2 linked regions of the Struthio camelus genome follow. The protein of the gene in region 1 purifies or fractionates together with the protein of each later gene. This does not show direct contact. Links are inferred from orthologs where the notes say so. Each region holds a gene or a part of one and is shown on either strand. Other genes may lie near its edges.

What was found.
Region 2: the proteins of CSK (region 1) and TNS3 purify together in Homo sapiens (affinity purification with mass spectrometry; 4 studies listed by BioGRID and IntAct, with this or other methods). This does not show direct contact. The link is inferred for Struthio camelus from reciprocal best matches to the Homo sapiens genes CSK and TNS3.

The regions. Positions count from the first base shown.
Region 1 is NC_090953.1:23,418,083-23,433,000, reverse strand, and holds the start of CSK (tyrosine-protein kinase CSK), read left to right. Parts: upstream 1-8,134; 5' UTR 8,135-8,149; coding exon 8,150-8,206; intron 8,207-8,513; exon of another isoform or gene 8,514-8,528; coding exon of another isoform or gene 8,529-8,573; intron 8,574-9,467; exon of another isoform or gene 9,468-9,519; intron 9,520-10,725; exon of another isoform or gene 10,726-10,869; intron 10,870-12,009; exon of another isoform or gene 12,010-12,137; intron 12,138-14,918. UniProt on the Homo sapiens protein: Non-receptor tyrosine-protein kinase that plays an important role in the regulation of cell growth, differentiation, migration and immune response.
Region 2 is NC_090943.1:64,494,133-64,508,259, forward strand, and holds the start of TNS3 (tensin-3), read right to left. Parts: upstream 6,839-14,127; 5' UTR 6,811-6,838; coding exon 6,721-6,810; intron 1-6,720. UniProt on the Homo sapiens protein: May act as a protein phosphatase and/or a lipid phosphatase. Involved in the dissociation of the integrin-tensin-actin complex. EGF activates TNS4 and down-regulates TNS3 which results in capping the tail of ITGB1.

The sequences.
Region 1 (14,918 bases):
AAGGTCCAGGCCATGGTTTGAGAGACAGGTCTAAGCTTTGACATATTCCAGCCGCCCTTCAGGGGCCTTGGAGGAAACGTAGAAGGATGGTTTAGCGCAACCCATGACATCCGTTAGCTGAAAAACATTGCCTCTACCTTTGCAGGGACCTAGTCATGAAGCCCCTCGACGCCACAGGGGCCATGCTAAAGCCAGCATTCAGCTATAACATAGAGAGGCTGGGATCATCCTGGAGACAGGTTTAGGTCTCAGTCCTTAACTCACTGATTCAAAAGAGAGCCAGGACTGCCAGGCAGCCGGTGGCAGCATGTCACACCATCCCCAGGTAGTGGAGAGGTTCTCATGGACTTGGCCCAGCAGCCCTGTAGAAAGATGCTTTCCCTCCAGCTGCAGCCCTCCCTGAAGCCGTTAGGTGAACATGCGATGTTGATTCTGGTGTAGGACCAGAGGCCCCGTTTGCTGGCGCCGTTGCGTGACTTTGCTGCCCTAAATTCTGGCTGGGTTTGCTGATAAGGCCTGCAATAAGCAAGCGCAGATATAAAGAAAGAGCAGTGGGAAATTTTTTTCCCACTGGGTGTTTTATAGCGCCAGGGCAGATAAGCAGATTAATATTAACGTTGTTGAGGTGAAACAGCCCCTTGTCAGTGCAAGGCCTCCCTGAGGTGCACTTATCAAGGGCTGGTGGCCTCCTCGGGGTCACTGCTGCCAATCTGCGTGGGGCAGAGCCTGCAGACCCAGAGGCCAGAGAGCTGGGATGAAAAGTCGCCCCCATTTCAAGATGGGGAAGGGGAAGAGAAAGGGCTCGAGGGGAGAGAAATGGGCAGACTTACTGGGCCTCCCCATCCAGGTGCCTTTCCTCAAGTAGTCCTTCTCTTCCTGCTGTGAGAGGGGAAACACCCCACTTCTTTAAACCTCAGTCTTCATTTTGCGTCTCTCCCTCCCTTTGATGGCAGTCGGAGCCATCCCATGCGGTTTTGGGGAGCTGGAGCCTTCGCTACCAGCCTCCGAGGCACACGGGGAGCCATGCTGAGCCCCGGCCCCTGCAGAGAACAGCAGCCCGTCTGCTGCGGCCTCGGTCTGCGCTCGTGCCTGGAGCAGAGCCGCTGTGGAAGTCTGGTCTTGCATGCACATGTCGTCTTGGGTATCCTGGTCCCTTCAAAAGCCTGGTGACTGCAGGTAAGGTCCCAGTTTTCTTGCTGGGACCCTTCAATCCCAGCTACTCTGAGGCTAACAGAGGCCGTTTGTCTTCCCCCGCTGCCTTCTGCTCCTCTCTTGTTTGCCTCTACCACCTGGGCACGGGAGCACTGTGGCTGCAAGAGCAGAGCTCAGCCCAGCACCCCAACAACAGGTCCTGCCCGTTCCTAGACAATACGGTTGGGGAAGCAAAGCTGAGCTGGCTCCTTTGCCAGCCATTTTCTCAGCCATGTACCTCGGCAGGCTCCCCGGCACGCGGGGGCTCTCCGTGCTGCACACTTGGGTGCTGTCACTTGCAGACCGGGTGACTCCAGGCATGCAGCCAGGCCTGCGGGGTACGGAGGATGATGCAGGGCACAGACCCCGCAGCCCTGGGCTGGAGGAGAGCAGCGAGCACAGGCCAGGCATCAAGGGAGGGTGTCCCAAGCTCTGCACTGCTCTTTGCTCTGCGATAGCTCTGGAGCAGAGCAGTGTCAGGAGACCCCAGCCCTGAGGGCTCTTCTGCGAGGAAGGAGCAAGGATCTCTGGTTCCTTCTGCGGTGCCCTCTCCCTGGGCAGATCTTAACTCTTTGCCTCTTCCTCTTCCCCGCAGCCTCCGGAGAAACAAATCCATCAGTTTGTCTCATGAAAGCCCACATTGCTTGCAATAGATAAGGGACTCTTGCTCCCCTATCTCTGCCTTTTCCCTAGTGATCTTCCTCAGTTAAATCCTCCAGTCTCTAATCCCCAGCTTGACTGCAAGTGCTGTGATTTCTTTACCGGAATTGGCATGGTGATAAGCTAGGGGAGATTTTATCACGCCACAGCCAATTGCTTTTATTGTTGGCTTTAAAATGAACTGGCCAATTAGGCCATCACAGCTTGGCTCTACATCCTCTTACAAAGGTGGTGATGCTCACGGGTCCCTCATTCCAGCAGGGCAATATCCAGGCAGCCACATACCTTCTTTCTCAAGCACTTCCGCAGTTTTGGCAGAAAGGACCCGGCCGGCACCTCCTGGCGTTGAACGGCGTCTGCGAGCCAGGGGAGGTGGGCGCTGAGAAGGAGCCGCTCATTTTAAAAACTGGCTGGGGATAGAAACTCGCCAGCCTTCAAGCTGCTAAACAACTGCAGAGCAGTGAAGAAGCTCCCTGCAGGGCTGGGTGTCTGCAGGGTCAGCAGATGTGTTAGGCACTTGCAAGTCCTACTCTAAAGGGGTCCCAAGAAAGAAAAAAAGAGGACTCAGAGCTCTTGTTTCTCTTTTCGAGAGCATCCCGGTCATACCTGGAAAGTGAATCAGAGCCTGACCTTTAAACCGTGGCCTCCTTGCATCCATGCCACGGAGAGTAAACCTGTAGGCTGGGAGAGGCTGTAGAGGACCCTAAGGCATGTGGTGGGGAAGTTTTGATCTTGATTGTCCCTTTGCATGGGCTGAGACACGTTCCTCCCCGCAGTAGCCACAGTTCTGCACCTCCTTCTGTAGCTCGTCTGTCCTTGGGATGATGCACTGGCCTTGGGGGTCCTTCCCAGGAGGGCTCCAGTGTCCCCCGAGAGCCACAGCATCACCCCCAGCTGTGGTTTTAATCACCTGAGCACATGAGATACCCCCCGAGGAAGGGGGCTACAGTGACCACAGCCCATGGTGCGAGGCTGCCCCAGCGCCCGGCAGCAGCCCAGGCCAACCTGCTCCTCCCACGAGGCCACACGCTGGTCACCAAGCCCCGATACAGCCCTTTGCCTGGCAGGATCTGGCCCATTCCTCAGAGGGAATGGGAAATGAGCTTCCTGGGAAATGTTGTAGAGAGGGATCGATTTTCTGCAAATTTCCCCTCCCCCTTCTGGTTCTGGGTTTTTTTTTCACTCGGGGATTTTCAGTGGTTGTTTTTCCTCCCTTTTCCTCCACTGATTTCGAGCAAGCACCTGGGAAGGAAGTCGCCAAGCCGGGCAACGGGACAAAGGCTGATCACAGCACCTTGGTGGCCAAAGCCTGCAACGTCAGGCACGCTGCCCGCGGGCTCGAGTAGCTGGGGTGGCCAGCCGCGCCGGCAGCGCACCCCGCGCGAGAGGGGGATAGCTTGGGTGTTGGACTGCCTCGCCGTGCCGCGAGCGTCTTCCCTCTCTCCCCACCGAAGCCAAAGGCGGCTCACAGGATCCCGCGTGCCCGAGCTCACCCCTTTCCCCCAGTCTGCACCCTCCAGAGGTGCTTCGTGCGCAGCAGCTTATGGCCTGCCTCGCTCCATGCCTCAGTTTCCCCCGTAAAGGGGAGGCAGCAAGGCTTCCCCCACCAGTCTGGTCTTGCTTCACTTAAGTCTTTGGCAACATGTTCTTTTTGCGGCTGACCCCTCTTCCAGCAGGAGGGATGCCGGGACCCGTGAACATGGGTGGGAGCGTTGCGTGGGGGTCCTTCCTCGAGATGGCAGGACAGGCAGAGGTCTCAGACACTGTCCAGAACTGTCTCCCCACGTCTTGTGAGAGATCCAAGAGCCCATGGAGACCTCCTTCGCACCCAGAGCCGGGAATTCGGGCCGGTGGGCATCTCCTCGCCAGGAAACCCCACACTATAACTCCTGGGCTCAGCCGGGACCCAGGCTAGAGGAGCCACCTGCAGAACAGTCCTTCCTCCCTGGATGCCAACTTTTGGCATTCCCACCACCTCCCCAGGGGGGTTGCTCCAACATTTAACGACCCGCCTGGTTAAAAGCACATCCTGTGTTTCTAACCTAGCTCCATCATCCTGATGTTGGCTCCCTCTTCCATTTTGCTGTCTGTTTATCCCCCCCTCCCCAGATCTGCTATCAGATATCATCTGCCCTCCGGGATTAACCCTTGGATGCCTGTAAAAACTACCAAAAGCTGCACGTTTCTGCCAAGGAAAAGAAAAAAAAGAAATTGAGTTCAGTCTCCCAAGTGCTGTTGGAGATACAGCTGAAACCTATCTGGGGCCTTCAACAGGTTTCCTTGGTGCGGAAGGGGGTGTCACCTGCTTTCTGTGTCGCCCCCCCCTTAGCCGCTTATCCTGATCCAGACTGATGCTGCGACGCTCCTCCTGGGCTCCCATGCAAAGTGCTCCCTCCTCCCTCGGGCCACCGATAAAACCGCAGGGTCTCACCTGGCTGGTGGGGCCCTGCAGCACCTAAAGGGGTGTTCACGCGGTGCCCCCGTGGCGGTGAGCGCGGCAGGGGTCAGCGACGCTTTCGGGCACGCCAGCGAGATCCCAAGGAGGACTGCTCCGGCACGGAGCAGTCTCTGGGTGCCGGAGCCGCTGCAGCCTCCCCAGGGCAGTTTCTCTCGGAGCAGGGTTGGAGCAGGCGCCTGGTCCTCAGCGCTGCCCAGGCTGGACCCACAGACAGGGGAGAGCTCGAGCCGGCCGAGTTGAGCCCGCTAAAGCTGCGAGGGCCTCAGCCCAGAGCCCCAGGCCCACATACTCCAGCGCTGGGGAAGCAGGATTCGGATGCAAGCTGGCATCTCCGTTCCCCACATCATCCCCGCTGGATTTGGTGCCCACTGCTCTGTCCCCCGGGTACCACCCGGGTACCACTGCCCGCCCACACCCCTCGCATCCCCAAGCACTTTGGCTTGGATCTCATCCCCCCATTATTCCTCACGCTTGGCAGGAATTACTAATTCTTGAGAGCTCCCAACTCAGTCCTGAGCTATCCTCCTCCCATCCCTCCTCCCTCTTCCCTCTGGAAAGGAGAGGGTGTTTTGGCTAATTGATTGCGCCAAGTCATTAGAGGCACAATTAAGCACCATGTTCCTCAGAAAACATGAAAGCAAGCAAGGATGGAGTTTGGCCCCAGGTTAAGACGGGAAGAAAGAGATGGCAAGATAGCCGCTCCCCGCACGCAAGGGGCTGTCTGAGGAGAGCTCTGGGCTCCTGGGAACTGCCCCGAAACCTGCCTTTCCTCTGGCTGCCTGGCACTGCGAGCCGGCCCCCTCCCGCCCGCGCCCCACGCAGCCATGCATGCACGCATCCGTGGACGACGGAGGCAGCGGGGAGCAGCCCGGGGGGACGCCTGCACCGCCAGGAGCGCGGGCGTCCCCGCAGAGCCTGGTCCAGCGAGCAGAGGCAGCGCGAGCCAAAAAGCCCTGGGATGGGTGCAGGGAACAACGCTCTGCCCTGCAGCGTGCCCCGCATCGGGCACGGGCCAAAAACGGGCAGCACGGGGGCAGCGAAGAGGTAATTTGGGACACACATGAAATCAGAGCCCAGATTTTACTAGCAAACGAAGAGGGCCGGGTACCGATCTCTCCGGTGCTGGAGGGACGCGGGCAGAGCGCAGTCTGGCCCGATCGCCCTCAGGAGAAGAGCGACGTGCCGAGAGGCAATATCCCCACTTGCTCCCCTCCCTGCTTTAATTAAAATCGTCCTCAAAATGACGGCTCCGCTGGCGAGGCTTCGAAACGAGGCTGCCCTCGGCACCGGAGAGGGCTCCGGGGCCGGCACGGCGAGAGCCGCGAGGCGGACGCCGGTTCCCAAGTCCCTTGGGCGCTTCTGGAGCATCTGCGTCCCCGTCTCTCGTGTTCGTGACGCGAACGCCCTCCCGCGGCATCAGCTCGCAGGTGAATTCCCCAGGGTCCAGGAAGCTGGGATCCTTCACTCGGGCTTTCCCTAGGAAGTTCATGCCCATGAGTGTGGATTCTCAGCTGTCTAGTACAGCCAATACAGCAACCTTCTCGTCTGCGGGGCTCTCCTGTCTCTGGATACCGGCTCTTGCCCAAGCTGCACTGTCCGAAAGCCCTGGAGGCACAAGCGCCACTGCCAGCCAGGGCTAAAACCAGCCAGGAGATCCAGAGACGAGACAGATCCGCAGGATCGGTGACTGCCCACGCTTCGCTCCTTTAGGAAACCTGGCTTCAGGTCTATCCCCTGTTTTAGACGCTTAAGCACTCCCCAAAGCGTCCAGCGCTTGGCTGCCAGCACGCGGTCGCTGAGATGCCACCCCACGCCGAGCTGGTCTGGCACCGGCGCGTTCCCCGGAGGGGCCTGGGCGAACCTGCCGGGCCGTTTGCGTAAAACCAGCCTTCGCAGCGCCCGCAGGCTGCCACGTGCTGCTCCTCTCGCACCAGGTCTCATCGGGGAGACGGGGCAGAGGACTCTGGCTCTTGCATCCCTTCCTCCAGGACAAAGGCAAAGCCTTCAGCATCACTTTCCTGCCGGCCCGCATCCCGGATCGCTACGGCGGGTGACTCACCGTGGACGGGTGCCCAGGGTCCCTCCTGGCCTGGCGTGGGAATATTACACGGTCAGGATTTTATTCTCAGGACGGGAATCGCTGCTGCAGGGACGAAGGAGGTGTTTACGGGCCAAAAGAAGCAAGATCCAGGGGGTTACGGACGAGGTGCCTCGGGGCAAGCTGTGGGTGAGATACTGCTTGTCTTCCTGGTGGCACCGGGAACATCGGTTGGGGAAGGGTCAGAAGCCCCCCTTGGCCCCCAGCCCACTCCCGCTGGGCCGGACGAGGGAGCTCAGGACCACTGATCTGGCCTGCGCAAGCCAGATCTGCCACATCCCAGCAGAGCGCAGCGTCTCCCGGGCCTCGTCCCTCCTTCTCGTCCTCCTTTCCCCGGAAGCGCGGCCGAGAGCAGCCCTGCGCCTCCTCGCCATCCTGCCGACTCAGCTCCGCCAAAAGCCTGGCCTTGGCTCTCTGCCCTGCGAGGAAGTTCGGCTCCTCCTCGGCTGGACCCCCAGCGACAACAGGCGCTGCTGCGCAGTTTTTCCTTTCTTTACTTTCCCTTTTCCTGCAGGCTGATTCCCACCAGCTGAAGGGCCCCCTCTCCTGGTGCAAAGCAAGGAGGTGGCTGCCCACGTCTTCTCCAAATCCAGCCCTCCAAACAGGGTGGCTCCGACGCAGCGGCCCAGGCCAGGCCGTGGCACGGGCAGGGACCCTTTCCCAGACTATTGAAGGTGGGGTCCCGAGCTGTGTCCCGAGCATCGTTCCCCTCACCCTTCCTTTGCACTGTGGCATTTCTACTGTCCCCGTAGTCCCGCTTTCTCCACCTTCCCCTCTAAACTTGGCCGTACGTCCTCCCTTTCCTTCCGTCCTTCCAGCAGCCCCAGCATTCATGGCTTGCAGTCGCTGGGACCGGTGACTTCACCCAGCTTAAAGCAAATCTGGCCTTTCCCCAGCCGGATCAGTTTTGAACCCACTCAGGTCCTGGGACCTCCTGCCAGGTAGGAGATCAACACTTCCAGCAGGAACGGAAATCAGCCCAACACGGCAGTCCGACAGCACACTGGGGAGTTGCACGACGTAGCCCGGGGCACAAGGGTCTGTGTGCTTGGGCAGCCGCAGGTCTCCTCTGAACCCCGGTGGGGCCGCTGGGCTGCTCACCTCGGCCCAAGAGCCGTCTTCCAAGGACCTCTGGACACGCGAGGTTGTTGGCCGTCGCGCAATAAGCCAGGAGGTGCAGCAGAGCCCACGAGCGAACGAGACAAACCCAAAGAGGAGGAGGCTGTTTGTGTCCATTCACCATCAAGGAGGAGAGAAGGAAAGGGAGAAGGACACAGCAGGGGCTGCTGATCACCATCCTAAAACCAGCACGGCAGGACAACGCGGTCGTGGGGCTATTTCTCCAGGCCTCCTTCTAGGTCTGACGGATTGCAAAAGCCTGGAGCCACCTGCACAGTTCCCCACCGGGCCGGGTTCACATTTTGTGTTTTCCTTCAGGAGCCAAGGTCCCAAAGTCCCAGTGCTGCTTCCCAGAAGAGAGGCAGGGCCCGGGAGAAGGGATGCCCCGAGCCGGCAGGCCGCGTGCGGGGCTGTGCCCGGAAAGGTGCTTCTGCACAGCAGTTACTATTGCAAGAGAAATCTGCCCCCCAAAACTCCTTGCAGCCCCCACACAAGGGAAAATCCCGAGCCTCATCCCCATTCTCCCTGCCCGCCCCCTCCAGACCGGGCCAGCCTGGGCACCTAGGCAAAGCATTTTTCCCCGATGAGCGAGTGGTGATGCTGCGGCTCTGCGTGCACCGCGGATGTGTGCGCGCATCCGGACGCCTGCGTGCGCACACGGGCACGCACCTCTCGGGCAGGTACGTCCGCGCAGGTGCCCGCGTTGGGCTGCGTTTGCCAGTGCGTGAGGGCGCGGAGGGGTGCTGGCGCGCGCACGCTCGGCCCTGCGTTTATGGGCACGCAAGCTTGGGTGGGTGCATTTCTATGGGTGCGTGCGTGGGTTTGTGTCTGCATCTGTGGGTGCATTTCTGGTGCAAACAGATGCACGAGCTGGTTTCACTTCCTCCCAGGGCTGCTCCGCTTGGTAGCTGCGTGAGGCCGAGCGGGGAAGCAAGCCGACCTGCTGCTGGCGGGGCCTTCCCTGCCCCTCTCCGGGGGGTGCATCCTGCGAACCACGGGGCGATGCGCCAGCTCCTCGCACGGGGCTCAGGGCCTGGCGGGAGTCAGGTCTGCACGACCGGCACGGGCTCACCCGACACCCGGCGAAACCGGGTCGCAGGCTCTTTCCCGCACACCGTGCACAGGAAAGCGCCCTCCAGAAGTGAACGGGGCTTTACAATCCGCTCCCTGGGTACCGGCATCTCCAGCCTCCCTGTTGCCTTTCCTCCCGCATCCCTGCGGTCCCCTCGCCCCCTTCGCGGGACGTCTCCATCGCTTTGTTATCTCTTTTCTTTCTTCCTTCTCTGCTTGCTCTGCTCGCGCTCATCCTCACCGCCGGGCCAGGCAGGAGAGACCGTCCGATGGACGGGGAGGTCGCGTGCGAGCGGCAGGGAGATATCCCCCCCCGGCAGCCGCGCAGGGCCGGGCCGCGGGGCTGTTTTCGGAGCGGCGCTCAGCCCCTATCTCAGCGGAGAGGGGCGGAGGCGAGGGCGGGCAGGGTCCCTGCACCCCCTGCCTAACAGCCCCGGGGCGAAGCGGGGAGGAGAGCGCTCCGTGCAGGGAAGTCCAAGGCCACCCCTTCCCGCACAATGGCATTATTCAGAGCGGCTGGCGCGGGTCCTGCCGGGCTGGCAGGGCAGGCGGGCCCCGGGGGCCGCTCGGGGCGGCAGGCGCCGGGAAGCGTCCCCCAGGCCGAGCGGCGAGCAGGGAGCCGCGCCGGTTTGTAAAGCGATTGGATGGCAACTGGCGAAGCACGCTTGCAGCCCGCTGACTTGCGGTCGCCAGCGTCGGGGCGGGACGATCCCGAAGCAAGGAAAGAAACGAGAGCAAGCAAAAAACCGAAGAGAGGCGCGCGCCGGCGCTTCCTGCTTTGCCCTACATGGCCGCGGCGTTTTGCGATACGAGGCAGGAAGTGACAAGCGCTTTTTCTTTCTAATTGAGCCTGCGAGGCATGATTTAGTCTGCGAACGCCTCGTCGCTGGATGGGGCGCTTTGGCCGGAGGGAGGGACGGCGGTAAACGAGCCTCGTGGGAGAAGCGCCGGGAGAGCCGTGGCCTGGCGGGGCGCAGCATTGCCTCCCGGCTGCGGAGGAAAGCGCCGCACCGCGAGGCTCCCGCCGCCCGCCTAGGGCTGCCCGCTGCGCCGAGCCCTGCCCGTCCCCCAGGGACCCCCGTCTCCTGTCACCGCCGGCAGCTTCTCAGGGCCAAGCCAAAAGGGAGTCGGGCTTTTTAAGCCTGTTTTCCAGGGTCTTTGCAGCTCCCACCTGCAGCTGCTGCCTGGAGGCGCCGGCCTAATTTTGGCACGGTTCTCGCGATTTGGAGTCTGGCGCGTGGAGCGGGATGATGGGCCTGCTCCCCCCACCCTCACCCACCGCGCAGCCAGGCCGGGCGTCCGCAGCGTTTCGCGGCCTCCTCCCCGAGACGCGCCGCCCGTGCCCCGTCCCCTCCAAAGGCAGCGAGCGGCCTGAGCCGGGGTCCAGCCGCGTTTGACCCCGGGCGACCCTGCAGACAGGCTGTGCGGCGGGTGCCAGGGCCGGGGAGCTGCAGCGAGCCGCGCGCGCTGGGGCGCGCTGGGGGTGCCGGGTTCGGGCTGGTGGGCACCCGCTCGGCGTTTGCGAAATCAGCGCAGGCCACTTGCAGAGCTAGAGCGCGGCTGGAGCCAGTAAGTGACGAGGCGCGCACGGCCCGTGCAAGGAGGGAAACGGCAGGGAAGTGCCCAGGAGACGCTACGGAGCCGCCCGGAGCCGGTCAGGAAGCCCAAGCAGCGTCGTGCGCTGCCGGGAAGGGCGGCGTGTGCGCGGGCCCGGCCGCCCCCTCACCCCCCCCCCGCCGCCGCGCTCCGCGGCTCCGCTCGTGGCCCGGCAGGTGGCGCGGCCGCGCTGCCCGGGCGGCGGCGGCGGCGGCGGCGGCGGGCGGCGGGCGGCGGGCGGCGGGCGGCGGGCGGCGGCGGGGTCGGGCCGTGGCGGCGCGGCGCAGGCGCGCTGCTCCGGGCGCACCGATTCCGGGCGTCGCTTCCTGGCAGCAGGCCCCGCCGGCCCCGGCAGCGCCGCCCCGGGCCGAGCCCGCGCCCCTCGGCCCCGCGGCAGCGGCCGCGCCGCCGCCCGCCCGGCAGCGCCGCAGCGCAGCGCAGCGCAGCGGACGTTTCGCGGCGCCGCGTCGGGCAGCGGAACCCCGGGGCGGCGGCGGCCGCTTTGTTTCCTCCTCCCCTTCCGCCGCCGCCGCCGCCGCCGCCGGCCCAGCCGAGCCCGGAGGCCCCGCCGGCGCCGCATGGAGTACGCGGCGGCGGGCTGAGCGCCGCTGCCCTGCCCTCGCCCCCTGCCCGCCGCGCCGCGGCGGCGGCGGCCGCGCACCGGAGCCCGCCGGAGGTGAGTGCTCGGCCGGCGGGGACCGGCCCGGCCCCGGCTCCCCTCCCCCTTCCCCAACCTTCCGCCGTTCATCCGTGCGCTGAGCGCGTCGGGCCGCCGCCGGGCCCGCCCTGCCCTGCCGCCCGCCGGGGGCGCGGCCGCCGCGGGGCAGCGGCGGGGAGCGGGGGGCAGAGCCGGTGCGGCGGCGCCGGAGCCGTCGGGGCCGCTGCGGCGCGGCGGCCGCGGGCGGCGGCGAGGCCAAGGGGCGCCCGGCGAGCCCGGTCCTCGGCCGCCCGACGGCGCCGCTCCCGCTCGCCCGCCGCCCCCTCGACGGGGCTTGGGGGGGCCGTCGGGGCGCCCCGCTGCTGCTCCCGCGCCCTCGGACGGCGCCGGGCTCTCGGTGGCCCTGCGCCCGGCGGGTTCGCGTCGACCGGGCCGCCCCGTCCGGCGCGGCCGCTCGACGCCTGGGCCGACACGCGGGGCCGCGCCGCCGCGTTGGGTTAGCGGCTCGGCGGGGCGCGCTCCGCCGGCGGGGTTCCCCCCCCCCGGCTTCCCTCCCCGGCGTGGGAAGCGAGAGAAACACAGCCGGGGTGGTGGGGGGGAGAGGGAGCGGGATGCAGCCGCCGCGCGGGGTCTGGCCGCGCTTTTTGTCGATACCGCCCCGACGGCTATTAATAGGAACGGCTGTTGCTCGCAGGTCTAGCGAGAACGAAGAGGGGCCGGGTCCTCGTGCCAAAAAACAAACGGGGAGGTGGGGGGGGGGGAAGAGCCCCCGCAGGCCGGGCGGCGGTGGGTGAGGTGTGACGGCGGCAGGGCACCGCCACTGGAACGGCGTCGGCCGGCGCGGAGGCCCGGGAAGGCCGTGGGCCGACGCGAGGAGACCGGACGACATAGGGGGTCGGGGTGGGGGGGGGAAACGCGCCGCTCCGGCGCGCTAAAAGCACGTGAATTTTGTGGGAAGTGGGTGAGAACGAGCAGGAAAAGCCTCCCCCCCCCACCCGGCCGCGTCGGCGAGGCCTCGAGCAGCATCTCGAGCGCCTTCGGGGCCTCCACCTGCCTCCGAGTATCCCCCAGGCGCGTTTTGTGGTTTGACAGCAACATCTTCTCTCTTTTTTTTTTTTTTTTTTCTCTTTTTTTTAAAGAAGGAGCAGCAAAACCCTTTTCCTCTCTCAGGGCCGACGCAGGCAGCTGAAGGGGGCAGGAGGAGAGGAGCAGCCCAACGGTCTCTGAGAACGAGCAGAGCCGACTCGCTGATGAGATAAAAGAGAAACGTTTTTCTTTCGATTAGGGTAATTGTAGGTGTTACTCATAATAACCGTTGATAAGATCTCGTGGAGAGGGTGAGGACGTCGTCGGCTGTTTTTTTGGGTTGCGTTTTTTTTTTTTTGTGTGTGTGTTGTTGTTGTTTTTTTCTTGTTTCCGAAGTTTAAAGAAACTTCGAGTAGACCGCTGGGAGAAGACTTGAAGCGCCGGCTAGGCAGGCCGCGGGCGAGCAGGCTGGACGTGCGCGGAGCCCGCGCGCGTTTTTCCTGCGGGAATGACCCTTTCTTAACCGCGGAAGCTAAAGCCGCCTGTGAAACGGAGGCGCCCGTCGGCGAGCCGAAGGGCTCCGGGAGCCGGGAGGGCCGCGGGAAAGGCGCCGCGCGCCGCCGGCCGGGGGCTGACGCCGAGGCGACGTCCCCTCCGTATCCGGGACCGAAGCGGGAAGAGGAGCACGGCTGTCCCCTCGGCCGGGGCGAGACGTTTGGAGGCCTGCTGAGGTGGAGTCCGCGGCGCGGGGCGGCAGCCGCCGGCTCCAGCCGTCGTGGGGTGCAGCGGCTGGAAAGGGACGGAGAGGCAAGAGAGAGAAGCAAACAGTGCGGGGGGGGGGGGGTTCGCCGCCTCCTTAAAACAACCTGCGATAACACCCGGAAAGGGGCATGCCTGCCCCGGCGCCGGCGAGCGCGGTCCCGTCCTTGCCCCCGCCGGCGGTTGACATCCAGCATCTCTAGGGAGCGGTGCGGGACGTGACGGCTCTGGCTGCAGCCCTTTCCCTCGGGCCTCCTCCGAACTTGCTCATCGGGCTTGAAATGCACGTGCGGCATCTTCCCTCCTGCCCTTGCCCGCCGCCGGCCCCCTCCGAGGCACCGCAGCCGGCGAGGGGTTTCTTTTCGGCCGTCCCCGGCGGGAGATGCGGGAGAGCTGGGGGGAGCCGGCAAAGCCCAGCTCCTCTTAACGCGATGAAGGACGCTCCTGGCCTCTGCTCCGCTCTGCTGAGCTTGGATAGGTTTTTTTTTTTCTTTTTCTTCATCTTCCTCCGCTTTCCCCCACCCCGGCGTCTCCGGCCCCCCGCTCCCTCCCATCCCGCAGACGGGCTCGGGGAAGGAGCAGGGGGGAGCGTGTCGCGCCGTTCGGGGAGCTTCGCCTGCGGGAGCGCTGGGCCCCCGGATGGATGGACGGACGGACGTGTCTGCCCCGGTGCAGCCTGCGGCGTGGGTCCGGAGCTTCCCGCCGGGCGCCGCTCGCGCCTGGCCGCGGTTCGCGGGTGGTTTCGCGCCGGTGGTCCGGCCGCATCCTGCCACCGGCTCGGAGAGGAGCCGTCGGCCCGCGGCGGGGGCGGACGGGGCGGCTGGGACCCCGCCGCCGCTCGGGGGAGGTTGCGCTGGCGCTGCGCAAGCTCTGGGGCGGGCAGCAGAGGAAAGCCGTGATTTTGGCAGCCCGGCTGAAGCTGCTGTGGGATTGCTCCGTTTTTCAGGGTGCTCTGGGCCCCCAAAGGGGATCGCTGGAAGGGGTGCGAGCCCCCCAGCTCGGGCCGCCGGGGCGAGAGCGGTCTGCCTTGGGGGGCTCGCGAGCATCCAGAGCTGGGTGCCACGCTCCCACGTGGCTGCGGATAACGTCCGGGCCTTTATCCGGCGCCTTCCCGTTTTTCTTGCGGCTGTTTTTCCCTGGGAAGGTCCCTGCCGACCGGAGACGCCGCTGGAGTCCTCCTGCTTCCCACTCCCGAATCGCATCCCGTGGAAGCCCCCGGCGCCTCGGCCGCGGTCGGGAGCCGGCGCGGGAGGACGCCCGCTCCCGTGCCCGGGCTGCCGGCTTTCGGATGCAAAGGTCGGCAGGTAGCAGGGGAAAACGCGGGGCCGGGCAGCGCCGAGGCTTGGCAGGGCCGCCGGCCCCGCGCCCCTCTGCCGCCGCTGGGGCTGGGAGCGAGAGCCCGCGCGGAGGTCTAAGAAGAGCAAAGCCCGAGCGCGTCGAGGGATTTGGTGCAAACCTGGCGCTTAACTTTGCCCAACTGGTCGAGCTGCTCCGCGGCTCTTGTTTTCTTCTTTTCCCCGAGCCGATCTGTGCCGGCGCGTGGCCCGACGCGACGTCCCTCCCGTCAGCCGACCCCGCCGCGGAGCTGCCGAGCTGGCCGCCCCGGTGAGCGCTTCGCCCCGAGAGCCGCGTGCGTCGACTCGCAGCCCGCAGCTGGCAGCGCATCGCTTGCGCGTAGCGATGCCACCTTCCGACCCCGGCCGTTTCCACCATCCGGGAAAGCTGAAAACGTTCGCGTTTGGCCCGAGCGCGTTGCCCTGGCAGCTTGAATTTGCTGGGACGCCTTCCGCTTTGGAAAGAAGGGTTTTTTCCCAGGCTCGAAAGCCCGGAGATGGGCTCTCCGGTTGGCGTCCTCTGGGCGCTACCGTTGAAAGCCCGGCAAGTTCGGGCTTGGAGACGTCCGGCTCCCGTGCGCCGAGGGAAAAGAGCGGATGAGAACGGCAGCCCGCCGTGGACGCCGTCGCCCGCGGCACCGGCACGCGCGCCGGGACGAGGCCGGGTCCTCGGGGCCGGTGCGTGGGACAGGGCGGCTTGAACCAGGGCCAAGCGATGCCCTGCTGCCGGCGGGGGAGCGCGAAATCACGGCGAACCTCAGCCAGGGCGTCCTCGCTGGAGTCGAAGCGCGGAGGGATCCTCCTGCCTCCGGCTTGGGCTCCCTCGGCCGCTTCAACGTGCCAAAGCGCAGAGCGAGCTCTCGGCGGTCGCCCGGCCTCGGCGGTGTCGAAGTGGGGGCCGAGCAGCGCCCGAGGGGCCGGTTTGGCTCCCGGCCGGGAGCTGCAGAG
Region 2 (14,127 bases), on another chromosome or scaffold:
ATCTTCTCTTCATCCATTTTGAGAGAAAGTCATTTCACATTTGGGGTTTTTTTGGCCATAGGGCAGGAAAAGGTTTTTCCTAAAAGCGATCAATCGGAGAAAGTGCCAGGTCACACACAATGAATTCACAACATGAAGGCAGCTTCAACATCCAGCCGTTGGGACTCTCTTGCCCTTCTACTCTCTTGTACATAGTACTTGTGAAGTACTATGTACCATAGCCTTTCTAACAGTCAAACCTAGATGGTGAGAACTCACATAAACAAAGAAAGGGAGCGCAGCGTAACAGCTTACAGAGCTTCCTGCACGCTTTCAGCTGGCTTCAAACTTAAATCCCCCTTTCGTTCCACGGTGCTCCCCACATACGCCTCTTCCACCCAGCCCATACATAAGGCAGCTAACATGAAGGATCCTGTGAACAACTGCCCCACGCGAGAGGTGGGGGGAAAAAAAACCCTGAAATCTAAGTCCAATTCTCTGTAGGGTATCTGAATTTTAACTGGTCCCAGAGCCTTATATCCTGTATAAATCATTTCCCGGGTAAGAATTATCTCTGCATGCCTGGAAACTTTGAGCAGTCATTATCAGCTAAGAGTTTGTATGAGGCTGAATCAGGATTCTTAACCTTACTTACGTGTTTTATGTTGTACCTGTTGTCTCTTACAGTGCTAACAGCAGAGCTGCAAAGAGCTTGACTTTGCATTGTAAGTTTTGTCGCTGTAAGAGATGCAGAATCTGATCCTAATTCAGCAACTGCAGATATATAAACCAGGATCAACGTTATACATAAACAACTAGCAATTCATCTTGGAGTACTTAAGACATCTGAAGTTGGGACCTGGTTTTCCAAGCATCTGATGGCTAAACCAATGTCACTTTAAACAGTATCGAGCCAATCACTCCAATCATTTGTTGCCTTGGCAAACTGAGACCAAGAAAAACATTTCTGAACGAGGAAGATAAGCAAAAGGAATTGATGGAAAACTTAATATGGAAAGTCCTACCACTGGAAGCAACAAAACAAACAAAAAGACGTCTAAGAAATACCAGAGTCAAGTAAAGAATTATTACCTATTTCTCAGTTGTTAGAACATGAAATATCAGGGTTAAACATGTGGAAATTTATACCAGGCAGGACACATCGCAGATACAATTTCATACCTAAGCATCATGGAATCTAGACAGCCAAATTAGGGGGAAAAAGAGGACAGCAGGTGAGAAAGCTGTTTTTGCAAGGACATGTGAGAGGAGCCAGCGAAGCAAAAGGAAACACAAAGACATTATCTCCTGGGAGGAAAATATAAGAAGGCATAAGGAAGAGTATTAGTATGGTTTTCTTCAAGTGGGGGGAAGAGTTATCATGACCAGCACCATCCATGGGTCACCAGCCTAAGCTTTAATTCAGCCAAATATTTCATCATGTTTAATATTTATTTTCAGGTTCTGCTGATGTCAAGAGCGCATGAGCACTTAAATATTTTACTGAATAGGAACAGGCTTAAGAAATCACTTAATGTTAAACAATATTCAAAAGTGCTTTGTTCAATTAAGAACTATGTTGCGTGAGCTAGTACACATTCAATCACGGCAGACTCGGCAGAGATACTTCCTTAATCTCGTATGTAATGAGTAGAAGAAAGAGAAGGAGGAAGGGAAGGGAAACGCTGCTAACATTTTACATTTTCATGAGAGATAAGAGAGCGCCGTTAGGGCACCAGTGCCACTTAAGCATTTATTAAAATCAGCAGGAGCGCTCTCTGCTCCTGCTTGACATGGCCACGGGAGCTTGACATGTCTGCTTGACATGGCCATGGGAGCCATGTCAGCCCCGAGGAAAGGAGGAAGGACCAGCTAGAAAGAAAGAGAAATGGGAAAAGGAGCATGGATCTCATTCCACATCCCCTAAAAGAATGGGCATATTTGAATAACAATGACGATAATTTAATCATTGCTTTGCATAGTTACGCAAGCCCATCAGTGATCATATGACATGTATTATTATCTGAACCCATGCAAAGTAGCAGCTTTATGAAATGCCAGGGCGATTGAAAGCATTTTACCTCCCTTTCTTTAAACTAACTAGAGTTGAAGCAGATCGCACCTACTTACATATTCAACACATACATTTTCCCCCCTCACTATTCTCTTTGATACTTTTATTCTATTGGTTTCCTGGATAACAAGAGACTATCTATGATCTGGGAAACCTGTCTCTTTACGTAAGAGCCCCATAGAACCACCTACAAATTTTCTTTTGGGCGAATACAATTTAGCATATGTAATCTGAGGGGAGAAACAATTCTGAAATTATAAAACCACAGCAATGCTCAAAGGAACCCACAAACTCCAAACAAATAGCTTTCCATTGTAAGCTTCATGGGAAAGTTGTTCATCTGACAGGATGTCAGCTCAGGGCAGTAACCAAGCAATTTGAGGATTTTTCTTTTCTAACGTTCACATAGTATTCTTTTGGAGGGAGAAAGTGTGTTAATTCCTTCTTTGCTTATTGTTTCCTCTAAGGAAATAATTGTTAGTTAAGTTTTGAAACTGCATTTCTTTTTTTAGAAGACATTACTTCCCTCTTCCTATAAACCAGCACAAAACTAGACTAAAATGAATGAGAAGTATCCAGTATATTTGCCACAGGACAAATCACAACAGTCAGACAGACAGAAGGCAAAGACAGGATAATAAAGTGACGAGGTAACTCTTTCCAGTTAACAGCCTTTACATTTTGATGTATTATTTCACCTGTCTGAAGCCACTCGGAAACCTGAATGCTATACTAAATAAAAGTGCTTGAGGTTTTTGAAAATCCCTTGTTTTGTTTTCCTTGGTCATTAAAAATATGAGGATAGGAAACTTGCATTTAAAGAACCAGATCCTGGAAAAAATTCTAGTTGCCTAATGTTCCTTAGTCCATATTAGGCTGTCCTCCTTTTCCCTAAGATATGTACTAAACAATGGCAGCACCAGGGACATCATTGCAGGAGTTAACGTGACTGTTTAAGTAAGAGAGGGGGAGCAAGATACATAGGCTAAGTTCCCATCTACATATGATCATATCATATCTACATATGATAATGATGTCACTTTGTTTTAAAATGTACAAACTAGATCAAAGAACTCATTTATTAACAAAAGGGTTATTGGCCCACTGGATCCATCAGCTGATTTAATAGGCTTTGACTAATAATGCCCCCATTGGCTGTCTTTTAGAGTTGCCGCCATCATGACCTGCAATATGCACGGAAGACATAACACCGGCAAAAAAAAAAAAATTCTTAACGATTCTTGTTGTTCTACCCTGAATTTTCTGCTGCATAACACAATACAAGGAAATGAAGCTAAAGACTTCTGAGCCTGTGGGCAGTTTGTGCCCACAATGCTGCTATGTGCTTAGTTGTCAATCCAAAACCATTAAAAATATTTCCTCCTGGGAAGAACTAGTTTTCTTCCTATTCTTTGCATCTGTGCAAGTAAGTCATCAATGGTGGAAGCCAGAATATTAATGGTCCATCTTCTCCCTGCAGGAAGCTGACTGCTCTCTGAAGTAGAGTAGCATCCTCACGTTTGCACACTTTCACCCAGAATCAGGGATATTAAGATATAATTTGGACACCTACTGTATAAAGAAGGCAACATGGAGATCCACTCCGACTTGTCCACTTACAAGGGACAACTCATTACTTAAAAAAAGCATCATACTTCAATGGAAAAGAACTATGCTGAGGATCAGGAAACCTGAAGTCTTTTATATACTTGATGAACCACCCTGAAAAAGTTGCTTTACTCTATACTTCCGTTTCCACTATTGCTTTTTTCTTGCTGACATAAGATAGCAGAACTGTGTACCTTATTTCTTTTTCAAGAGAAATAAGCAATGCAAAACACAGGTACTTTTTATCATAAATTGTCATTAGCTCTACAAACATCAGTCCTTGAAGTGAAATTACCAGAAACCACATGCAGACAAGTCTCATCTCCAACGCTCACTTCCCAAGGAGAAAAACTATCCCAAGAACTGCAACACTAAGGAGTCTGGCCTCATCGAGGTCCCTAACAATACTGTACACAAAGACAATGAGTCTTCAGGTAACACGGGGATCTGCTCAGAAAAGGCTGCCTACAAAACCGGAGCCAAAGGCAGTGCTTGCATTCTACTCCGAGTCCAGTCCAGATCGAGCTGGGAATTCAACAGTCACTCTGTTTCAGAAGTCACCTTGAACCTGTGTCAGTAGTGCCAACTTTAGGTTAATTCCATTAATTTCAAGAGAAAATAAATGCCTAGTGTAAATATATTAGAAAATTTCAAAAAAAAAAAACCCTCAGAAAATACAAAAAAAATCAAAAATAGATCCATTATTTAAAATACTTTTCTAGAGTCAAATTCAGGCTATTTTCCTCCTCAGCTTTGGTCTAAGACTTTTTGGCATATTCTGAGGCAGAACGTTAATGTCTAATATTACTATTATTTCAGCCACATAGTGGCAGACATTCAGATGGCCTGTTGTATAATTATATAGCTTCCTGCTGGAAGAGAAAGATCAATAGGAATTCAACAATATAGAAAGCTCATATTTTAAGCCGTTGCTTGTTGCCTGCTTTTTCATGTTCCAGATGTAAAAGAAAGCCACTGATGTTAATACATCCTGCCCACATGTTTTCTGTTCCATAATAGCAGCACAAATTGGAGCCTATGCCAGCTTTGTAGACTACTCCATCATTTAAACTCATTTTATAACCAATATTTTGAGAATTACTGGCCCAGCTTCCCCTATCACTCACACTAATTTTAAACTGATGAAATATAATTGGCTTCAGAGAAGAAACTCTTGATTTATACTACTGCAAATAAGAGAAGAATGCAGACCATCCTTTTCACAGAATTGGGTACTTCATTTAAATCTAATCAGCTCCTGAAGGTGGTGAAGCCCCAGCAGTCCCTGCTGCTCATTTGTTTCATACACACACACACACACACACACACACCCCTGCTTAGGGGTGTTCCCCACAGGGAATTAAATATCCCTATACACAGATGCTAAGGAAAGCACCAGCTTTCCTTATCTCAGTGCTTGTTTTTTCCCCCCCTCTCGCTGTCCTCTTAAGAGAGGAGAGTTTATGATCATTTATTCATGGTGCTGGAGCTACCAAAAAACTGATAACTCAGCAATCTCTGCAAAAAAAAAATTGTTACAGTAATTTTTCTCTTCATTCTCCATTATGTTGTTCAGGTTTAATATTGATCCACGTCACTTTGGCAAGAGATCACTAGAGAGATATCTGCTTTCAAACAGAATAAAGTTCCTTTTTCTAATCCTGATAGCAGGCAAAATTTCAGCCCTTTAAATGAGTCACTTGTCTAGGATAGAACATTGGCCACCTTACACCTCAAAGGAGAGCAATTCTGGCAGGGAAACACACACTCAAGATTCCCTTGGCAGCTTTCTACAATAAAATGGATATCTGAAGCCACTTGGGTTTGACATGAGAGACACAGGACTGATGGAGATGGTTTCACAGACAGGGCACACATGAGATGGCCACAGGGAGCCCCAAAGCAGTAACGATTCTTCAGCACGTCTCCACAGTTTACCCCTTGTGGGGTATATTATTCATGAATTTCTGGGAAACTAATCTTGAAAGGTTCCAACAGAAATAGTATGTTTTCAGAAGGGATTTGAAATGAAAGAGGATGCTTATTTAAGCACGCAAGAGGAGAGGGGGGATGACTGCAGCGCACAGGACCCAAGGCGACAAAAACATTTAAACACATGCTTGAAATTAAGCGTTAATTTAAATCCACAGCTGAACTGAGCTTTCAGAGGTAACCCAGAAGGAGGTGGGGGCTTCAAAGGTCCAGAGGTTTGGCTAGCCAGCCAGGGATGCTTGGACGTGCCCCTGGAAGGCGCGCGCTGGGCTGGGGCACTCTTGGCTAGCACTCCAGCGGGATTTGGGGCGCTCCTGTTTGCATTTGTGCCTGCAAGGCTGCGACTGGGGCAATTTCCCTCGTTTTGACCAGAGTCATAAAGCCAAGGGGAGCCCGTGACTGAAATCACAGAGGCTTAAAAGACATAATAATAATGTATTTGAAGTTGGACAGACTTTCCTACCCCTGAAAAGCTGATACACGTCCCTCAGACTGACCCCCCCCCCCCGGGATTCATCCTTACGTCGCCTCAGAGCAACGCGCGTTTTCTGACCGCAGGGCAATAACGTTGGGTGGGTTGGGGGGGGGGGGGCGTGGAGGAAAAAAAAGGGCAGATTGGGGCAGCCGTGACAAACTTTCTGCCAGGCCGCCTGCCGCCTCGCAGCGCCCCCCCCCCCTCCCGCGCAGGGACGCGCCCAACGCTCACGCTAACGGTCACGCTAACGGTCTCTAGCCGGCGCGAGCCCCTTACGAAAAGGACTGCTGCTGGACGGAGCCACCACGGCGGGCTTAGCCTGCGCCGCCGGCAGCTCGCCAGCAGCGGTCACAACGCGCGGGGAAAAGCGGTCCGGCATAACCCCAAACTCTTGGGTTTGGGGTGCTGTCTTTTTGGGGGGGCGGGGCGGTGCTGGCCTGCCGCCCCCAGCAGCGCGGCCACGCCGGGCCCGGCAGCTCCCCGGCGGAGCGGTGCCCCTGCGTCCCCCCTCCCAGGTTTCGGCAGCTGTGAGGCCCCGCGGACGGGGCGGCGGCGGCCACCTCCCCTCGTCCCCCGCCCCCCCCACACACACCTGCATCTCGGCCTCCTCCCGCGCCACGCAGCGGCGGCGATCCGGCGGCGGCGCCCGGCCCAGGCCCGCCAGGCTCAGCCGGCAGCCCATGGGGCGGCGGGGACAGCCGCCGGCCCCAGCCCCGGCGAGCGGGCGGGCGGCCCGCCCCTCAGCCGCCGCGGCCCGCCATGGCGCAGCTCCTTGCCCGGCCGCCTCTGCCTCCCTGCGCCTACCGGGGCCGGTGGCAGCAGACGGGCGCCGCGGGTGCTATAGAGCCGCCGGACTGGCGGAGCAGCGGCGTTGGCCGGCTGCGCGCACGGCTTTTTGGCCGGGGGGGGTGGCGGGGGGGGAGGGCAGAGAGGCGCCTCGCTGAGACGAGCAGCTCGGGCTCCCGCCGTGCCTGCTTAACGTCCGTCCCCAGGACGGCTTTGGGAGCGGGGTTTCAGGAGGGGGGCGAAGTCGGGCCGGGCCGGGGCGGCGGGGGAGGATTTCCCGCCGCTTACGCGCCGCCGGGCTGCCCGCGCGCGTTAGTTTAATTCCCTCTGGCTTTTTAACGCGACTTAATTTTCCCCGCCGGCGAAACGCCGCGCGCTGCTACCGGGCAGGAGGGGACAGGAGAGCGCGGCCGGCTGCGCAGGGGCTGCGGGCACCCCCTCGCCGCGGTTCCCGGGTCCCTGCGCCGCGAGCAAGGAGGACGCGGCGATCCGCCCTTCTCGGGCGCCCGGAGAAGCTCCAGCGGCGTCTGAGCGACCTCCCTCCCGCCTGCCGTGTGAAAAGGTGCCTGGGCCAGTGGGAGTTTGTTACCCGAACTTCGATGGCCTGGCGGCAGCGTCTTAAAATGGATTTGGAGGCACTGGGCCGATGGGTTTTGTTCTTCCACTGCCAGCAGGAGAGATCAGAAGTCGTTTCTAAACGTTTGCGTGGTGGTAACACCTGGCATGTTAGGATTTAGTTCAAAACAGCCTGTCTTTCATACAGCTAAAAAGGAAGAAACAGTTAAATTGTTTTCAACAGTGTTGTTAGTTATTTGTATCACTTAGGTGCTCTGACCCAGTGCTTGGCTCCCATTAGAGCAGGCGCTCTTTTATTTAAAGACACTTAAGCCATTTTGCTTCACAAAATGAGTTGTGTCGTTAGAGCAAGCAGCCTCGGATACATAATAATTTAAGTGGTGAACTCCAGCAGTCCTAACACTGGTAGGGCTTTTCTGGTTGCAGCAGGCAATTCAGGTATGCACTCGGTAGCCTACATGGGGGTGGTTTCTAGGCTGACAGCTTCTTTTCATTGCATAAATCTACCCGTCCCCCTGCTGCTATTACTCCAACACACTGTTCACAGAGTCTGAATGCACAAATATGTTATTTTTGCAGGACGAGGAACAGATTAAGGGAGGAAGGGTCACTGCCACAGCAAGTGCTGTTCTTAGGTAATGCCACGGTCTGATGTTGTCATGTAAGCTTTTCATTGAGAAGTCGCAAATCGTGAGTAACAAGCTATATTTGAAACTTCTCAAACCCATTGGAGTTATAATACAGGAATGTGTATGTGCGTAGGTGACTTCTATGAGCTAGTCAAAAGCAACCTCTCCAGCTAGCAGTTGTATTGGCTCATCCACTCCCAGTGGGGTTACTTCATCTGGTGCTTGCTGACTGCTCCACAGATAAAAGACCTTATATAGGAAGAGGAGAGACCTGAAGTCAGTATTGGTAGTTTGACAGTGTAGGAGTGGCTATGTATAGGTTTGAAATCCCTCTGCAGAAGCTAAGTGGTATAACTTCAGAAGTATCGACCCCTTGAGAAAGGATTTTTCACTGCTTTACCATATTTAAATTATCATTTCCATTCCTTTACTGCTTTTACTCTAAGTTTAATTACTGACAACTTCTGAAGATGGCCTGGTATATGTGAAATGGTTTGCAAAGCTGAACTACTCAAGTGAAGGTTTCTTGTCTCTGCTGCCTGTCCTAGGGGAAGAAAAAAAAAAAGAGGAGGAGGAGTAATTTTTGCTCAAAAGCAAAGTAGAATCAAGCATCCAGCTTCTGTGGGCATTAGAAGGGAACAGCGGATCATGCTTCCGGTAGATAACATTAAAGTTATGTCTATCTTGACTAGTGCTACCACTTCCTTTAGCAGACAGATTCTTCAGTGCTGCTGGGCAGCTTGTCTTCTAATCTTGCAAAAGAGACCACAGAGCTTTAGTACAACTTAGTTTAACGTGAGCAACTGAGAGCATTTTGGGACTCAAATTCTCTGTTCCCCTCTGGGTTACTCATTAACTCTGGCACCTGTATGCAAAAATACTCGGTGGTTATTTGTTTCATGATTACAAGAGAATTGCATTTTGGCTCTACAAGACTGTGTGCCTATCCTTGACATATTGAATGCTCTCAGTGTCCAATAATCAGGAATTCAGGGAACTCATCACCACAAACCTGATCCAGTGCAGCACCTGCAATGAAAAGGGTGTCTTTTCAAAGAAAATACTAAACCTGTTTTTATTTAAAGGAAGGGCACGCAAGTATTAATGACATATCATTATTTCAGTAAATATGAATGGAAGGAACTCTAGAGTTCCCCTTACTACTCAGTCCCCCCTCCTACTTCCTCCACCATTGCTAGCAGTTAGAAAAGGTACGTTTCAGCCTTCTCACAAGCAAAACCAGAGGGAGGTTAAGGAGGACCAAGGAGTCTGGGGAAAGAAAGAACAAACAATGCACTGATGTGTACGGGATTCACATTAACTAAGTAATCGTTGCTGAGACATAGGTCACTTCCTAGAGAATAATGACCATGGCCTGAGGCAAAGTGAGGGTTATTAGCATGAAGTCCACCATTAACTCTCCAGGAAATGCACAGGTCTGGAGTCATTAATGAAATTATAGCCAGTTATTTGGTGGGAGAGGGATTAGTCAGGCAAGACGAACCTTTTCCTTCTGGTGCCATTATTTTTACTGAGCAACACAAAAATGATATTTACTTCATGACTGCTTCTGTCTTGGAGGATCTTCAGAGAAAAAATCATTTGCACAGCAGTTAATCCAAATTCATTCAAAAGCCCGGGGAATTTTTATCATTAGTGCAGTGGGAACAGGAGCAGCTCCTAAATTTTGCATATATTGTCAGCATTCTGCAATTCTCAGCCTTCTGTGCTTCAAATACATAGCTTTCCTCAGTACCGAACAGTTTTGTTATTCCAGTGCCTGACTGCCAAAAGTCTCCCATTAACTAAGCAGTATGTGTTAAGGGACTGTTTCTTATTATTGACGTTATTTAGACTTGATGAAAATTACTTTTTTTTTTTAGAAGAAAAATGATACTCCTCTCATTCTCCCTGGACTGAGAGTATTAAGTAGGAGAGATCAAAATAAGTATACAAAAGATACACAGTAAGTATTAAATAGGAGAGACCAGTCTATGAGCGCTTTCAACAAACAGAGCTCAGCCAACAGTGTTTCGCGTGAACAATAACACATTGCATGTAAGGCATTGTGCCTTAAATGGCACAATTTAAGAGTCAAGTAAAAATAAAAAGAATGAACTCTTCATAACACTTTGCACTTTTCAAAGTCTGCACAAACAGTACAGCTTTGCGGTAAGGAGTTTAGAAGTAGCATCCAGTTCTACAGACTGAAGAAACAAGGTGCTCTCCTCCACAGCAGAAGAAATGCTATCTCAGATGTGCTGAGCTGTGCTAGGTCCCTGAGAGCGTCAGGCACCGATGCAAGGCACAAGCCACAGCTCTGGTAACCATGCAGGAGCAGTGCTGGTGTTAATCATTGTCCAAAACCCCCTTTTTCCTGAGCAGGAATGTGAACATGCAGAGTCGAGGGGAAATTAGGTTTTATCAGGTTTAATATTTCCAGACTGAATTCCAGACTCAGTACAATAATCATTAAATACTAGCTTATCTTAACAAACGTCGTTATGCTTTAAACAGGCTGACTCTGGTACCAGCAACGTTTTATACCCGTAGCTGCATGGAGCTTAGCCCTGGGGTGACCGATGCCCTGGCTGTTCTAATCAGGTTCCTGATCTGAGTACAGTATGGCTCCCTTCCAGCCTCTGTGCCAACGTATCCCCTTCCACGTATGGGGAGGTGGGATGAAACAAGCCTGAATCTCATCCTGAGAGGGCTGAAGTGTGCGTTAGGGCCTGGAAACCTCAAGTCCCTCAAGACAGACATAGCCACTTTACCTTGTCAGAATTCCTCCAGTTCCTCTATCCCTCTAATAAGCAACAATGTTATTGAGACACTTCTTCAAACTGGTCTGAGTTTTGTTTATAAAAAGCTGCATGAAAGTAATTCCCATCAGGAACAAAGAGCTGCATCTCCCACTTTTCCAAGACCTGTGACCACCCTGGGTCATGAACTGCAACCAGCAAATGCAAATAAACTAATTCCTGTGGATTGCTTTGATAGAAAGCACTGGACAACTTCACATGTTAAAAAGAAACACATCTTACCCATCCTCTTTTCTCTGTCCACCACTTCCATTAACTTCTGATGCCTCCAAAATAAAACCTAACCAAAAAAACTTTCCCCCAAAAGGACCAGTTTTAAGTGGCTTGAGAAAAGATGTCATTTTTCCTACTCTGCTATTCAGCTGCAGGAATACCTCCTTTTCCAGCCTCCCCTCCCATTTGGGGGGGGGGGGGGGAACCGCTCTTTTACCCAAAGCCAAAAATGTGGGAGGTCGAGAAAGGACAGACAGATGTGGCAAACTTAACCTCACTATGTCTGGGAAACAAAATGAAAAGACATGTTTTATAATCATGATATATGCGCCTGGAAAGATTAGAAAGAAAAAGGGGATCTGCTAAACCGTTTAAACTGTTCCCCATCTAGTTATGTCCTTGTTACTGCTTTGCACTCAATAATTCTCCTACCCCAAAGACAGCCTCACCCTGAAAGTATATAAACTAACAGTATCGCCCGCTGTCAAAAGCCACTTTACAGTGAGAGTCACACATCAAAAAGAGAAAGGCGAACCTCTGCATAAATCCAGATCTGAATGAGGATTGTTTAGGTTTTGTGTTTGTTCTTAAATCAGCTTAGCTATTCATCAGAAGAAAGAGCAAACACTTAAAGCTTACTTTGTTAAAATGGTGAAAATATGAGCCAAAAGCTCTGGTGGTACCTTAAAATTTTGAAAAAGAAATAAAAGTTTAAGAAGCCCAAACATGTTACATAACTCTGCTGGATTTCCAACAAAAACACACAGCCGTGCAACAGACAGTTAATGTCTGCAAAATTCCAGATTTTTTCTAATATGCCCTCTGGGGCCAATTTAATATTTTCCAGACCCTTTTCTTTCCCCCCCTCTTCTTGCTAAGAAACAGCAGTGAAATACCAGGAAATGGTCCTCAGCTGCTGTAATGTTTTCATTTGCCCAACGATAGCGCGTTTGAACTGTTTGCTGGCCCCTCCGCGCGAACCTTCTGGGGCTTTCGGCATACCAGGAGCAGGCAGGTGACTCCGGCTCCATCTCCGCCAGGCCTGCATTGCTCACTGCCAAACTTGTCAGGGCTCTGCAGGCTGCTTTCAGAAAAAAAATGGCACGCAAAGAACTGCCCTGCAGCAGCAGAACTGGGTACACTTTACAGAAGCTGCTCACGCACCAAACCCAATATACTTCATGCAAGACGACACCCTTGCAAGCCTTTCTCCCCACTCCATCCAAAAACAAAAAAAAAAACCTTTCCAAAGATGTTTGCTTGTTTACACCAAAGGAAAAAGAAAGTCCTGTGGTTGACATGTTTATCCTGATATTTATAAAGAAAAATGTTTGGTTTTACTCTCGGGTGTTTAGCGTTTATGGTCTCCCATGGGCTGTCGATGAGTGGGTGATAAGACACGTGGATCCAGAGCAGCTAACCACTAATTCAGTCCTTGCACAAGAATAAATACACAAGAGGAAGAAGGAAAGAAAAGTGATATCTCAAAAGTAAAACAAAAGTAGCTCTCTATGGACAAAGAGTATGTGGAGTGTGTGCATTAGTCTATAGGCCCCAAACTGCCAGCACTCGCTCCTAAGCGTATGCGATGCTGCTCTTGAAGTAAGCTCCAGTGTAAGCAGTCATGGTAATTGAATTTATGTATGTACTCACGTGTCTCTTTTTGCAAAACTGTCAGGCAGGCTGCTTGATGTGGGCAGCAGAAAAGCCACAAACAATGGAGTCTGATTAACTGCCAAGGCTGCAACCTTAACCTTTGCGAGTCGCCATTGCCCTGCTGAATTTCAGTCACTCCAGACTATAGCAGCAAGGCTGTTGGTGTTGCTCTCTCTTGCCACGGATCACCTCTCCAGAGTAACAGCTCAAGAGGCCAGGAAGGGCTTTGCCCACTCTGCACTGCACTGTCTACAAGTGAATCCTGCCTTGCTGCCAAGTTGAGACCTCTGTCTTTCACTTCCCTGGATGGAGAGGCGGAGGGAAGAGCGCCCGCTCCATCCTGACCACAGCGTGCACCCTCACAACCTTGCTCAGCTGGCTATGGGGTCCCAAGCCAGACACTCACACACTGACAACACTATACCTATGAAAATTAATTGTTACGATGTGAATGCACATACTCTGGCTCAAGGAATAAAACTTTCGCCTCTCTCCATTTTTCCTCTTGTCTTTTTCTGTCCTTGTAGATTTGCATCTAAGTCCCTCTGAGTTGTGCCACCCAATGTGGCTGTATTGTCTGTTCCTATAATCCCTGTGCTCCTGAACTCTCCCAGACCCAGACCTCGTCTGCCAAGTGCAAGGTCAAAAACTTTCACTGCAGAGACAAAAACTCAAAGGCAGTTGACATAAGGGCGTTTTAGGAGAGACTGTAGCAGGCTAGGTTAAAGATGGACGGGCTGAGTTGAAAGCAGTCCATGTATTTCACTGGTTTCAACTTTCAGACGTTCCTAGTGCTGTTAATATGTAAGTGAACAAGTTTTGCAGGAAAATTGGAAAAAATAATTGGGATATGATTCAAAGTCATACAAACACATACCCCATAATACTCGTACTGCAAAAATCACAGAACGGATCTGACTGCATAATTGCAGCCCAGGGCGTTTAATCGCCACTACCAGACGTGCAATGCCAACTTTTTCTTCAGTTATCTACTTCCCAACTATTCCACCACAATTTTTAGGATATATTTATTTACATTTGACATAAGTAAGTCATTATTGGAGACTCTGAACCAGCAGAACCCTTAGGCTTTTTCATATGCTGCAAGTATATGCCTAACCAAGCAGGCTATGTGGAGAACAACTTTTCTACTTCATGCAGGCTATCCATAGTTTCTAAATTTGCTTGCATTCCAAATTAAAACAGAAACTACCATGTTCCTAAGTCTCCATGGAAAAAAAAAAAAACCCCTCATATTTTTAACATAAACCTCTTAGGAGAAAGAGCTGTCAGAGTATTTATTTTCAACAGAAGCAA